Linked DNA regions of Daphnia pulex. The protein of the gene in region 1 purifies or fractionates together with the protein of each later gene. This does not show direct contact. Links are inferred from orthologs where the notes say so. Each region holds a gene or a part of one and is shown in the gene's direction. Other genes may lie near its edges.

The links.
Region 2: the proteins of anaphase-promoting complex subunit 4-like (region 1) and anaphase-promoting complex subunit 7-like purify together in Homo sapiens (affinity purification with western blotting; 14 studies listed by BioGRID and IntAct, with this or other methods). This does not show direct contact. The link is inferred for Daphnia pulex from reciprocal best matches to the Homo sapiens genes ANAPC4 and ANAPC7.

What each region holds. Positions count from the first base shown.
Region 1 is NC_060021.1:8,250,751-8,261,554, forward strand, and holds anaphase-promoting complex subunit 4-like, read left to right. Parts: upstream 1-4,545; 5' UTR 4,546-4,798; coding exon 4,799-4,913; intron 4,914-4,991; coding exon 4,992-7,139; intron 7,140-7,161; exon of another isoform or gene 7,162-7,222; coding exon 7,223-7,287; 3' UTR 7,288-7,323; coding exon of another isoform or gene 7,324-7,437; 3' UTR 7,438-7,473; downstream 7,474-10,804. Other genes in the region: condensin-2 complex subunit H2-like, read right to left, coding at 7,324-7,437, 7,501-7,737, 7,807-7,937, 8,023-8,142, 8,210-8,412, 8,474-8,586, 8,683-8,924, 8,985-9,376 and 1 more; nuclear pore complex protein Nup98-Nup96-like, read left to right, coding at 10,522-10,573, 10,712-10,804. UniProt on the Homo sapiens protein: Component of the anaphase promoting complex/cyclosome (APC/C), a cell cycle-regulated E3 ubiquitin ligase that controls progression through mitosis and the G1 phase of the cell cycle.
Region 2 is NC_060017.1:4,025,344-4,028,943, forward strand, and holds the start of anaphase-promoting complex subunit 7-like, read left to right. Parts: upstream 1-1,388; 5' UTR 1,389-1,565; coding exon 1,566-1,631; intron 1,632-1,934; coding exon 1,935-2,151; intron 2,152-2,216; coding exon 2,217-2,508; intron 2,509-2,587; coding exon 2,588-2,771; intron 2,772-2,833; coding exon 2,834-2,971; intron 2,972-3,038; coding exon 3,039-3,104; intron 3,105-3,174; coding exon 3,175-3,278; intron 3,279-3,407; coding exon 3,408-3,552; intron 3,553-3,600. Other genes in the region: myb-like protein K, read left to right, coding at 4-387, 501-1,123. UniProt on the Homo sapiens protein: Component of the anaphase promoting complex/cyclosome (APC/C), a cell cycle-regulated E3 ubiquitin ligase that controls progression through mitosis and the G1 phase of the cell cycle.

The sequences.
Region 1 (10,804 bases):
TGTGATTATTATTTTCATTCATTTATTCAGTACGTCACCGTTCAAAAGAGAAACAGTTGCTGTTGCCAGTGTTGCGCCATATAGCCAAGAGGTTCATTGCAATTCCAAGTAAAGACAACAAGGGCTGCAGCTGTGAGATCAGCACGAAACAGCAGCCAAAATCTTTTATTTTTTTATACGACAGCAACTTTGGCCCGGACTTTCCCCGGAAGTTATTCCTTGACTGTCACGAAATCCATATAGATCACCATTGCCGTGTGGGTTTTCTTCTTCTTTCCGTGCAGATCCCGGAGTTCTGGGCGTCATCCGAGAGTCTCCGTTCTTATTCTCTCCGTTCAGCCAAGCGCACCATTAAATTATCACGTTGCCATCATCATCGCTTGCGGGGGTGTCATCCTATAAACAATATGCAATCAGGACGTGCTGCTATACTCCCACTCATCCGCGTCCGGAATCCCGTTTTTTTTTTCTTCTTCTTCTTTTTCTCCGCTGTGCTGTTATTTCGGTCCTTCCATTTCCTTGACGTTGAAGTTGTCCCGAAATGGAGACGAAAAAGTGCGGGCAATCGGTCGACAATGGGTCCGCCGTTTATATTCTGTCATTTTGGTGGTGTCTTTTATTTTTGTTTCACAGCGGAAGACGATTTCCACTTTACACGATTCCGGCATCGAGATGTGGGTATTGTACCGTAAACGTCCGCTGCGGATATTTATACGAGACGCGACGCCAGAGAATATTTGACAGTACCTTATTTGTTCACTCTTGGTATCCTTCCAAAAGTATACTCTTTCACACAATGCGCATAGCTTGGAGGGCGTTTAGGATCGTGTATACGTGACCTGCTGAGGGCATATTGAGAAACCAGTTCGACCTTCGTAAAAGTCGCCTTAGCATTTATATGTATTTGTAACGACGACGAGTGGCCATCTAAACTGACGACTTTTCATCTGTAGCTACCAGAAAATTCCCAACAAAGCGGTCGTCAGCAGCTGGAGACACTGATGGAGCGGCCAACGGGCACCCAACGACAGGAGAGGGCCAGAGAATGCCGGGAATCCTGTTTTCCGTGCAGCAAGCGGTGTTAATGCGTGATGCGTTGGCGGGGCCGCAAGAACTATGTGCGTCTACGTCCGTTCATACCGCTGTCGCTTCTGTGGGGGAAAAAAAAAGGACAAGCAAAAGTCCAAGGAAAACAAAAGAAAGAGAAACATTTTCCCAATGTAGAGTCACGCTTCGGAAATAGAACTGATGTCACCCACACATCAGCACTTGTGCCATGCTGTTGCGTGAAAGGTCTCCAAGATGAGGTGGCGCATATCATGCATGCACCGCGTATAGTCCTTCGGTTATGTACTCTTATGCGTACCTCATCCCGATAGAGTTTGCTTTCTTTCTTAATTTTTTTAAATGGGTTTCACCTTCTTCTTAATACGATGCAGCTTATGTAAGTCCATAAGCTGGACGGATATTGTGCGGGTATAATACAGCGACTTCTGTTTGATTAGAATTATAACGAATCAAGACCAACAGTCCTGTACATAATCCACTATAGTGTTTTTAATCTCCATTGAATTGAATGATGGACGACTGTACGTCAGCGGTTTAGTATGACTGCCTTGCTGATATTCACGTTGAACGATCGAGGGTCTTTTTTAATAACCATCCATTAGAGCAGTTAATAACGAATTCTGATGAAGACGAATCGGGAGAAACAGTCGGAACGAAACGATACCGCGCCCAATAACGGAGACTGGCGAACAATCATGACGCCCGAACTTATACAGCACGTCGGCACACGCCGTAAAAAAGCTCACAAAGGTTCACCTTTTTATATTTGATGGAAACGGTCACGTTGATACATACGACTTGCATGCGTGACTGGCGACCGCCGATCTATACCCTGTTTTATTATCGGCATCATCGCATCAATAGTAATAAAACATTGTGACTAAAAGGCAACATATATCTACTACATCAAAACCCAAAAAGCTGTCTGATGGATGTAGCGGGAAATGTATGCGAAAGAGAAAACTTTGCGTGCTGATATATTTCCCCGTATATACTATGTATACCCTCCCCCTCTCTCCAGCGCGATCCATTTGTTTAACTAGTTGTAATAACTTCTCGTCTCTCCCCATACATTCTTTATTCTTCTTCCGAACTTTTTCTAGGGTGTTGGTTCGTTAATCCAATTAAAATGGGATGTAACCTGTATCAGGTGGCAGGGAGTGACATCCGTGTCCGATGTTGCTCTGGTGTCCTAGGAGAAGAATCTACTTTCTTCATAGGAGAAATGTGACCCAAATGTTGAAGGGTTAAATTTAATGCCAATCGTAAGTTACTGTTATGAGAAAGACCTAGTTTCGACTGGTTTTCGTCTTCCGTTATAAGGCCCCTTGATTATATAGTAATTTTGATTGAAATAAAATGATGGGATTGACTTTAGCATGTAAAACACGTATAGCAGTTTTGGCGCTGACGAAGTTTGACGTCACCTCGTTTAACTCGGTGACTTGCGTTACGTGAAGAGTACAGAATCCGGCTCGACTTTTATAATTTGGCGTTGTCAAACAAACGATTCGTCGATGACAGTGATTTGATGATGCGCCCATTGATCGTATCTTATACGACAACAAACGAGTAAGGCTAATGTTGTGCTATAACTGAAGTTCACAACGGGAAACGAGACCTTACTGGTTTTGATCAAGAGGTGTACGACACTTGGGTGGGCGTACGTCATTAAGACCCGTGCACCCAATACACCTACTGTATAGGTAAAGTCTATGCTCTACATGGACGCTTTTAAACGTGAACTCTGGATAGGAAATACGTAGCGGACGTTTATATATAAAGTCTTAATATAGCTGGGGAAATTTGATTTCTTTTTACCAGGCTCTTTTCTTTTTGCGAGTCGAGAAGCAACAAAAGGACAAAAACTTGGACAAAAAGGGTTCCATTAAGGATATCTACGTAGGCACATTAGATCGATCATGCAATACATTGACGGCGGTACTATGTTCTATTTTTAAACATTGATTTTTCTTTTAAAAACAGGCAAAGGCACATCAAAAATGAAAATGCGGAAAAGAAAAGGGGATAGAAAATTGATATTATTCCGCCTACGCTTTCCTTTCCACGTTTTCTCTTCTGTTTGTCCTTGTGTTGAATAGTCTGTGCTGTTTGCTTATCTGGTGAATGGAAAGGAGAATTACGCGATTGCCGTTGAATTGATGAGTGTCGGCCTGCATCAAGAAACGCGCGATTCAAGCGTCTCACATTCGGTCAAAGCGAAACCAATGATCTAATCTCGGCCCGACAGTCATGTATACAAACGGTCATGTCAAATAACGGAAAAATCACTGCCAGACTAAAAATAGGAACTAGTAAAGACAACAAATCCGAATCGCCTAAAAAAAAGAATGTTGGAATAATATTCAATCTCTGTTGAATATAGGATGAAGCTTGCTTGTTGGCTAGGCACGGATGAACTCTCCTTTCTCCTATTATTTCGAGTCTATATCGACGGTGGTTGCTATGCATTACCCCGCCGTTCGCAGTGTCCCCCCGGAGTCACCTCAAACCGACCAGAACGTTGGTGGTCCCGCTAGACTGCTGCATTGAATACAAATAAGATCCAACTCCATAATCGTGCCTTTTTTTCCAGTCTCTAGAGTCCAACGAATAACGAGCACTGATACGCATAATCCACAATCATTGAACTGTGTGAACAGGAGAACGTCAGCAAGCAAAAGAAAGTAGTTGTGTGGAAATCGAAGTTCTTGTTGCTCCTCATCCTCTTCAGGAGCACTATATAGGCTAGGTACTGGTACAATATACATTTAGAGAAGATGATTTTTCTTATTTGGATATCGACTTTTTCTTTCTCCCATCTGACTACGTGTTTTTTTTTATTTCGTTTACAAGTTGCTACGAAAACACAATCGTCTAGACGTAAAAGCACAAATTCGCTGATAACGAATAAATAATGAATCAATGTTGTGCCACTCCGAAGGAGCAGAAGTGTTCCCCCCGCGCGTGAGAGCTTCTGCACATTGCACGAAATGGGAGACCCCGTCAACGCCCACACGTTTTCCTAAGGCTAAGTGCGGTAAAATATTAGGCAACTGCTACTGTATATAGCAGCATGACGTTTTATTATTATCAACGACCGGCGACAAGACAAGCAGAAAACAGAGCAAACTCTCATGAAGGTAAATAATCGTGTCGCAAAGGGAGTTCGTTATTTTCCGATCGATTTCTTTAGCACCCGCGAACGCACGGGAGCGATGCTTCGCTTAATCCTCGATGCCTAAGAATAGCGCTCATTTTTTACGTGGTGAGGTTATCAACTGGGTTTCTGTTTGGCCAAGAGATTATCCTATTTGCCAGAAACCCGAATTCAATTTCGCATCCATTTACGGATAGACGAGCTTATGCTTGTTGAAAAGATGCGGCGGCAAATGCCTTAAAAAAATAAATTTGGGGAGACATTCTATCACACTGTGTGGCTATTTATTCAGTTAACGAACTACAGCCATGGACGTCAAGAGCCATGCGATACAATTGGCCTCCAGTGGTGACTGAAATAAAAAGCGAATAACGTTGAACACTTGAAGGTAACACGTAATAAAAAGGTAGAATTCAAATCTGAATGTTTCCAGGCAGTTTAAAAATCGACCGCTAGATGTACTCAAGTTGCCTAGAGAAGAAACCGAAAAAAAGTTCGAAAAGTTGTAAATACATGTTCCTTAATTTCTGTCTAATCGAGATTGTCGTGTAAAAACACAATCAGCTTAAAATGGTGTCGTGTATGATGAGACAGAGTGACGAAAAACACATTCTTGGAACTGCGTCAACAGAAATCCTTTTGTGGTCTTCCAGACGAGATCTGATTGCCGTCTCAAACAGCTCTGGTGAAAACTTGCAATCCTTCTTTTTCCCATTGTGTTACTATGATAATAAAATTTGTTTTGTATGTTATTTTCTTGTAGGTGAGGTTTTTCTGAGAAGGTTGTCATGGAGCAAAGTTTGGAAGCTTTCTAAAAGAGGTGATGGTGTCAAAGTCACAGCGATCGTTTGGAGACCAGACAGTGTGATACTAGCTGTAGGATACAGTTCTGGGCATGTGGTTCTAGTTGACGTTGAATCTGGAGAAGTAGTACACACATTCAACCCATGTGAGGAACCCATCACAGCTCTTTCCTGGGAAAACTGCAGCACAAGTGTGAAAGAAGAGGCAGACAATTTTTTGCTGCCAGAACTGCTGCCTCAACCATTGAAAGTTAACTCTTCAAAGCTAGATGCTGGGTCAGCACTTGATGGCGACAAAGGATTGAAACATGAAGAATTACTGAGCATTTTGTGGATTGGACTAAAGAATGGGTTAGTTTACGGATTCGCCTTTGGACTCTTTCCTTGCTGCCTTCTAAAACTTTCAGAAATGAGTGGTGGGAGCGATTCAATCGGACCTGTACGAAGTGTTTTCCCGAATGGTGATCACAGCCAACTGTGTTTACTAGCCGATGTTCGTGCCGGATCCTCAGAAGTTTTACTCATGACTGTGGAAACCCCACTCATAACTCATTGTTTGAAAGAGTTGTACGGTCTAGGATTTCTCTATCGGCAGATAACTGGCCTCATGGACTGCCTAATCAGTGCTCAGAAAGCTCTACAAGAAGCCTGGGAGGATGCACTAGTCGACCTCGAATCGAAAATGGTTCGCTATGAAAGCAACGACGGCAAGAGTAGCTTATCTGTCGACTTGATGGAGCTCCTGATGTTTGGCCACGCCGGGATCAAGCTGGAGAAATTTCTTGTTACCGATTTGACTGACAAAGGATTGAAACGAATCGGCCAAGCCGTAGAGTTATCCTATAGCAACATGCAGAAACTGCTCATCAAACACATCGTGTGTGCCAACTACCAACTGTCGCACTATTTGACACAACTTTGCGGGCTGGCCAAACAAGAAGATCGTTTCTCATGCCTCGGCCTCCAAGTCAATTCGTGTTTAGCTGCATACCGGGCGGCCGGCTCTTTTACCGCCAAAACCGCTGAGCTTCAACAGGTGATCGATGGTTCTGTCAAGTACCTCAAGACATTCTTCCGCTGGCTTTACGTTACCATCTTGCGCCTCTCGGACGAGCCTATCCCACCCGAGCTTGCCACCAGTACCCAGCAAGATGTACGGTTTATCGCCAACTTCCTCGCCAAAGATTTTGAGACCGATGGACAAGTACGTCTGGATCGTATTGGGCAATATTTGAGGAATGAGCCGTTGACTTTTGTTGCCAGCTCTAAAACTAGACCCTGGGACATGTTGATAGAAGCTTGTCCATCTATTGCGAATCTTCAGGACTCGGACTTATTTCAACCCCGTGCTGAACGCTCTCTTGCTCAAGAGTTCGCCCATTTGGAACATCAGGTCAAAGCCAGTTTCGAAGCTATCCCTTCAGCTGTTGGACAGACTGCGTCGTTGCCGTTTATCACCGACCTGACGTTAGATTGTCCTTCGGACAGTCTGGACAAGATCAGAATCACAACACGATCCATCAACCAACCAAAAGATCGGTGTAATCTTCTTGGCTTGACAAATTCGACCACTCATTCTTCAGGATTTTACCTGTTTGAATTCGCCTCCGAGAAGGAACGTAAGAACTTGACTCGAGCAGCATTCTTCTCCTTTGGCAAGTGCGACCATCTACCTCCTGGCGAATATAAAATAGCTGATCTGCAGTTCTATAACAACGAGATTATGTCAGTTTTGCTTTCGATCGAACGCAGCACGAATAGCATCTTCGTACAACTCAGTCTATGTCTGTTACGCGAACATTTGGCTCCCGTTGTGTCACGGCGAGGACCTTTTAACTCGTCCTTCCATTCAGACGTTTTCGTTTCATCAGTTCTCAGCCAAGGCAATCTTCGATCAGTGGATGTCAATACCTTTATTGAAGCAAGCTCGTTTCGTGTCTTAAACGACTTTCAGGCTACTACCCTCGGTCTATCGTCCAGTCGAAAGGTTGCCGCTATCTTTTCTTCGTCAAAAAGGAAGGTTCGCATATTTGACATGGAAGTTGAAGAGGAAGAAGACGTCGAAGACGAGGATCAGGACATTGAGGATGTTTCAGACTTATCGCACGGTACGTAAAAGTGAAAACCTGGTTAACTTTCAAATTGTTTATTATTAACAAGGTATGTTAATGGAATGGCATTTTTATCGCAGATATATCAAAAGATGGAGGAAATCAAAAGGATATCAGCGACGTGGATATGGCCGTCTCTCCCTGATGGACTATTAGGACCAAACATCTTGCTGACAGTTCATCAGATGAAATCGTCCATGTGTTCGTGATGCCTCTCTCGAGATAGGAGTTTTAGTTCCACTCCATCGAGAGTTAAAGCATCTTGAAGTTGAATTTCCACGTTGTAAGCGTTTGCCTATAATTGTTAATAAAATTGCATATCAAAACGAAATTGAACTGTAGCTTTTATGAAACTTACTAATTGCAGAGTGGCGAGAAAATATCTGGCTACTTCGTTTTTCGGTTGGTCATGAACAATTTTGGTAAAAGCACATTGGCTTCCTATAGGCGCATCAGACCCGAATTCCTCTATAATGCGACTTCCATAAAGGTGAATATCAAAATCACGACGCGTTTCGGCCTCACGAAGTCTCGGTTGAATCATATCATGCCACGCCTGAACTCGGCGGGTCGATTCAGTCGACGTTACAAATTCCTGAAAGAAAAATATATGCGACCGATTTCATTATAAATGTTTCATCAGAAGTAAATGGATCGTATGTACTTTGGCGGAAGCAGTATACTCTGCCATAAACTGCTGAACAAGTTCAAAAAACTGTTTTGATTCATCCATTTCTTTTGTGGGTTCTACCGGATCCCCAACAAGTTCTGGATGAAAACCGTCATATGAATCATCTGAAAAAAAAAAAGAGAGGGGGAGGGGGCTGATGAGTGAGTATCTCAATTTGAGAGATTAAGTTGGAGAACTAAGAATTATTACCAAGACCACCAGAATTGTCAAAACTATTTTCAAACTCTGGGGTATCTTTGTGGAAATGGTCATCGTCTTCGTTATTGATGTCCTGTTGGTCCATTTCTTCGATCCCTTCCGCGATATTTTCTTTATTGATAGGAGTAAAGGACACATTACTCCACATTCTTTTGCGAATTATTCAAAATATACTGACTTTCAGGCCGAAGTTTTTGTTGTTTTTTAATGACGGTCCCAGTTGTTTTCGTAAAGTGTACGTAATCTTCCCAGAATTCGGTATCAGGCTGGGAATATTTTAAGGCAGGCTTTTTAACGATTTGACTTTTCCCTAGAAATTCGTCTATTTCAACGCAAATTTCTTCATTTATGGGAACCTTCCCCACCCCTTTCCGTTTTCTCCTGTAAGCGATTGTTTGATAAATGACGTAATAAAGCAGTTTGACCGAAAATCGGAACTTACAAGGCAACAGGCATCTTGCATCGAACCGGAGCTCCACAAGGTTTCTTTAAAGCGTCACTTTCGGAATAGGGATCCATACCACCCCAAGGATCTTTTTCTTTTACTTGATTCTCCTGTAAAAAGATGATCAATAATGTAATAAAAAATTTATCTAAAAAAATATTACACATTCGTTCTAATAAAAAAAAAAAAACAGAATTAATGAGTACCACAGAAATTGGAGCCGGAGCTCTCTGGCGTAGTTGCATTCTCTCAACAACTTCTTCGGTTAAACCGTTGGAGTTCCCGTTTTCTTCGAGGTCATCTGGAATGATTTCGTTTTCTGAGGCCATTTCTCCGTCATTTTGCCAATCATCCAAGTTAGGAGGTTCGACTTCTAGATCATCTTGGTGCATAGACGTTATAGGAACTGGTTCGGTTGGCACCAAATCTGCGACGGAATGTTCAGCTTCTTCGTTAAAAATAAAATAAATTAATAAACGGAAAAAAATATCCACATTTTTCATTTTACCTTGGTTTTCGTTAAGGACATCTCTCTCGGGATGTACTTTAAATCCGTTTGCGTGATGGATTTGCAAAAACAAAGTGTAAGGGTCAAAGGGGAAATTAGATCTTAGATCAGAGGGGTAACCCAAATGCTCGTTTGAAAGTGTGTAGAGTTTAATTTTAACAGAATTTAAGCTTCCTATAACTTCTTCTAGTTGCAAGATTTCATACGGTAAAGTTTGGATCTTTTTTGTGTCTTTGGCTGTAGCTTTTCTCTTTAATTTTGAGCCAAACTTTCTAAACTTCAGTGGAATTGGTTCTGTGATAAGATCTACATCTCCTTTGTGATGTTTTTTTCGGTGATTTCTTCTTATCTTGGAGCCAGGTGTTTGATTTTCATCATTTTCATTACCATTCCTATAGAGAGTAGAGAGAAATGTGTTTTATTAGAAAGTAAAACATTGTACAGTACATGATTTTAGTTACCCATTCGAACTTAAAAACTCAATCACTTCTTGGAGAAGAAGCCAGAGCTGCTCAACTTTCTTGCTATAGATTTGTGCACTATTCTGTACAACCATAGCAGCCTTAGCAAAATCTAGCTTCATTTGCTCCCCGTTTACATTAACTTCAATCCGCAAATCTTGAATATACTGGACATATTCCTCCAATTTATCAGCTATATTCAGCTCCCAACATCCTTGTTTAGTAAGCTCTCGAATTGGCTTAAGAAGAGCAGCAAATTGAGAACTGAAAACATCATCTTCTTCAACAGAACTCCCACTCGAATTCGCAAGACCAGGGCCCATTGTTTAACACGACTGCGAAACTTATTACAACAAAAAATATCTCGAATCTTTAACTATTTCAGAAAAAGAAGAACATTTTTCATATTGAAAAATAAACTGTCAGCCACTTTGCCTGAACAAACAAGAAAACACAACAATTCAAAAATTGAATTTTGGAGTAAACGTAAGTGTTGCGTTTAGTTCTGAAGTACAAGGCCCACTATGCAACTAAATCAAGGGTCAAACTTTGGTGGCCATGTACGTAGCGCCACCTATAATGACTCTCAGTGTTTAGATTTTTGCGAAAACTAACCAAAACTCTTTAATTTTGCAACAATCAAATTCTAATTAAAATATTTTACACCTCTTAAATTTCGTGTCATCATAGTGTAAACATATTGAATTGCTAAATGCAAGTTAATGAATACTAACCGCTGGAAGACGCAGTCAAACGGCCTTCTTTCTATTCTCATTCTTGTGCGCCGCAACTGCTTTTTGCCTTTCGTAATTCGTATGAGCACCGTCTTGCCTTTTCAACGTTTCATTGAATTGTCAGCAAGTTCATACGACTCCCGCGTGCTGAGATTACTGTTGTGTTCTAAAAACTTGTGTGACGACCGCTAGCCATTGTAAGTTCAAATTGTGAGTTCTCCGAGATTAAGACTTCTGTGGTGTTGCATTTCGTACTCCATAAATATTGGGAGACATTTTTGACATTTTCTTTTTTACTTAGCTGCGGAGTGTGCCGGCTTCTTCAATGATACATCTTTAAAAATGTTTGGACAAAATAGACCCACTTTTGGAGCCCCAACATCAAATACTTTTGGTAATGCATCCAGACAATTATTATTCTTTACCATTGCATAAGCATATTTCATGTTTACAAATGTATCTTATCTTGTCATTACGTCACCATTTAAATTTCAACATTTTTTGTTTGCCCTCCATTGTTTGTTGCATTTAGGCGGTTTCGGTACAAATACATCAACAGGATTTGGGCAGTCTTCGTTTGGGGCAAAGCCAACTGGAACGGCTGCACCAACTTTCCAATCTACAG
Region 2 (3,600 bases), on another chromosome or scaffold:
TAGCCGTCATTGTATTGGCGTCCGTCTGGAATGGATTCACTCTGGCTGTTCCGCTACCTCAGCCAGACGTCGCCAACTCAACGGCGCCGGTGTCTCCTGCCGAAAAGTCGTCCAATGTCAAAAGTCGCCAGTTCAATGCGAACGTGCCGACAGGAGCCACTGGGCTGAGCGGTGGAAGCGCGGCCGGAATGCAAAGTCCTCTTCAGCAATTGGCCCTCCTGCAGCAAATGACCAACTCCAACAACAACCCCATGTCCATAGCCTCCGAACTGGAGGCACAGAAACAGGAAAACTTCCATTTGCAGAACCAAAAACAACAGCAGGGTCTATTAGCTTCGGTTCACATCAAGCAAGACCAGATTGCAACAGCACAGGCAGCCATAACAAGTATGTATGCGTGTGACACACAAATGACAGTCGAATTCCGTTCACGCCATTAAGAACCGTTTGATCAGTTGATTGACCTCTATCTTGTTTTTCCTTCATTCTTGCATTTATAGATCAGAGTAATATGGTGAACGGCCACCAACCTGGTGCTGTGATGCAAGCGGCGCTCAATCCACAGTTGCAGCAACTTCAACAGAACCTGGAAGCGCAAAAGCAGCAGCTCTTGGTCCAGCAGCAGGTACTCCAGCAGCAGGTGAAACCGGAAGCTCAGCAATTTAACAAACAACAAATCCTGATGGCCCAGCTTCTGAACGAGCCTCCGGCTAAGCGTCCTCAGCTTTGGGAACAAATCAAGCAGACGGTGACGAAACAGGAAGCTGCCATGATGGTCAATCCGTTGGCCCAGCAAGGACAGTTGGGCTTCTCTCAGATGAGCCTGGCGCAGCAGCCGAGCAGAAGCCAACAGGAATTGCAACGATACCAGACGTTGATTCAACTCTTGGGTTTGGCCAATCTGGCCTCTTCAAGCAACCCCAACCGCCAAGGATACTACACCGATCCCAATAGATCAATGGTCGCCGGTGGTCTACCTTATTCATCGTTCGGGAGCAATGCGGCAATGAGCGTTCAGGCCGTACAAATGATGCATCAGCAGCAAATGCTCTTGCTTCAACGACAGCAACAAATGATGATGCTTCGACAGCAAATGGCGATGATGAATCCGTTCATGTTCTAACATCGTCCTCCCTTTAATAACTTTATTCTTATATTTATGTTCCCACACTTTGCTCCCTAAATTAAAGCGTCCACTTAATTTTATTTGCATCTCTCTTTCCTGTTTCTCGTCGAGGAAGGAATAAAATAAATATACATTGTTTTACGTTAGTAAAATATTGAATGTTGTTACTGAATGTTGAATTTGATTAGATAATAATTTAATTTTTTAAATAATTTTAACGAAATTAGTAGATTCAGCATTCAGTACGCTGGTGCGCCGGTAGGCCTACGCTGTTTGTTGTCTCTCCGTACCGATAATCCCGCACTTTACGCGTTTCCAACCCTTCTCTGCACTTTACCACTTTATATTGTGATTTTCTTATTGGTGACTGCTGATCAAGTTTGTGTTATAGTTTTTTTCTTCTCTTTGAGTATATATATTACTTTCAGAGTTAGTCATTATGATTCTTCACGAGCAAATTCAAATGTTGTTTGATAACAAACTTTATACAAATATTGTTGCTCTGGTAACTATATAGTTTCTTGTGCTTTCCGTGAATGTTATCGATAGCTAAATGTCACCATTGTATTGCAATGCTATAAATATTAACAAATGTTTTAGTTATATCATTTATATTTTTGTTTGGGCAGTAGTATCTACTCCTACAACTCATATTATTCCATTTTGAATAAGTGCTACTGGTGACTTTTACCTTGAGTATGACAATAGGAATGAGTTCAGTGTAGATTTCATTCTATTACCATAGACTACGAAGTAGTGTAGTCTATGCTAATTACCAATCTAATGAATATCTGGAATTTTTCTACAGGCTCCAATGGTTCTTTCAGCTACTGATAACAATCCTGAGCTTTTACCTCCTGCAAGCATTGCCCAAACAATGGTGTACCTTGCAGATTCATTCCTTGAACAAAAGGAATATGGAAAAGCAGAAGTTTATTACAGAAAAGCCCTAGATCTGAGAAAAACCCTTTCTAAACAAAGGGGGATGGGAAATAGTGCTGCCAAAGAGCTTTCAGCTGAAACAGGTTTGATGTTCTGTTTTAAAGTATAAACAAGTTTTTCCTAAATAAGTTTGAAATAACAATTCTAGAGATTCGCTATCAAATGCACATATGCCACCTTGCTTTAAAACAGTCAGTGCAAGCACTTCTTGTCCTTCAAGGGATCCCAGCCAAACTACGATCAGTTAGGGTTAATATGGCTTTAGGCAAGTTGTATGTTATGAATGGGCTTGAACGCCCAGCCATTTCTGCTTTTAAAGAGGTTATTCGTGAATGTCCTTTGGCCCTAGAAGCTATATTGGCTTTGATTAAACTTGGAGTTAGTTATGTTGAACTTGTTCGTTTAATTTTTAATGGAAACCCATCAAATAACTTAGATTGGTGAGTAGGCTCATATGTATAAAATGTAAATCTTTGTTGAATAATGTTTATTTTCGTTTTTTTCCCTTAAATTCTGAAGGGTTGTTCAGTGGATCAAAGGACAGTGCCATCTTCATTCTTGTGAATATTTGAGTGCTTCTACCATTTTTTGCCATTTGCAAGATGCATCATTGCTCAAAGATGATGTAACAAATTTGGTATCACAAGGAACAACCCTTTTCTTGGCCGGGGATGGAGCGGGCGCCCTTCTACCGCTTCAACGAGTATGTTAAATGATTTGAGAAAAAAAATATCTGGTGCTCATCTCATATTTGCGTTTGTTCAGGCGCATTCCCTCGATCCTTTGTCGCTAAAAGGAATGGATATTTTAGCAGTCATTTTAGCGAATGAAAAGAAAAGTGTTGAACTTGAAGCACTAGCTCTCAAGCTAATCTCTGTTTCTGATTCTAGCTTCGAATCGTGGGTAAAATTATTTGTTTTTTATTTCTAATTACCCTTGTTCCTGTATTAATTTTAATTTATCAAATTAGGTGGCCATGGGATACCATTATCTTTTGTCACGCAAACTAACTCGCGCTCTGTACCTTGCGCATAAAGTAAGATAGCAATGCCGATGTGGTCTTATTACAAATAGTTTTAAAAACCGCGCAAACATATTTCTCATAGGCTTGCACATGTTGCATTCCAACCCCTGGGATAGAGCCCCTAATCCTTAAGGGTACGATTTTACAAGAGCTTAAAAAATGGCCTGAAGCTATCACACATTTTAGGTAAGTCCTGTGATGTTTAAAAAAAAATTATTGAAATATATTTTTTAATTATTGAGATATTTTTTAAATTTTAGTAATATTTAAAAAAAAATTATAGTAATATTAACAACAAGTTTAACATGATAATAGGGAAGGATTACAGACAGCTCCGCACCGATTCGAAATCTATCGTGGTATAGTTCACTGTTATCTAGCGCTTCAGCGAAGTCGAGAAGCCATGAATATAGCTGCTAGCTCTCTTCATCATATTGGTCATACACCTCGCACTTTCACGGTTAGCATTCTTTACAGTGTTTCGTGTTAATCATTCGTTTAAAGCAGA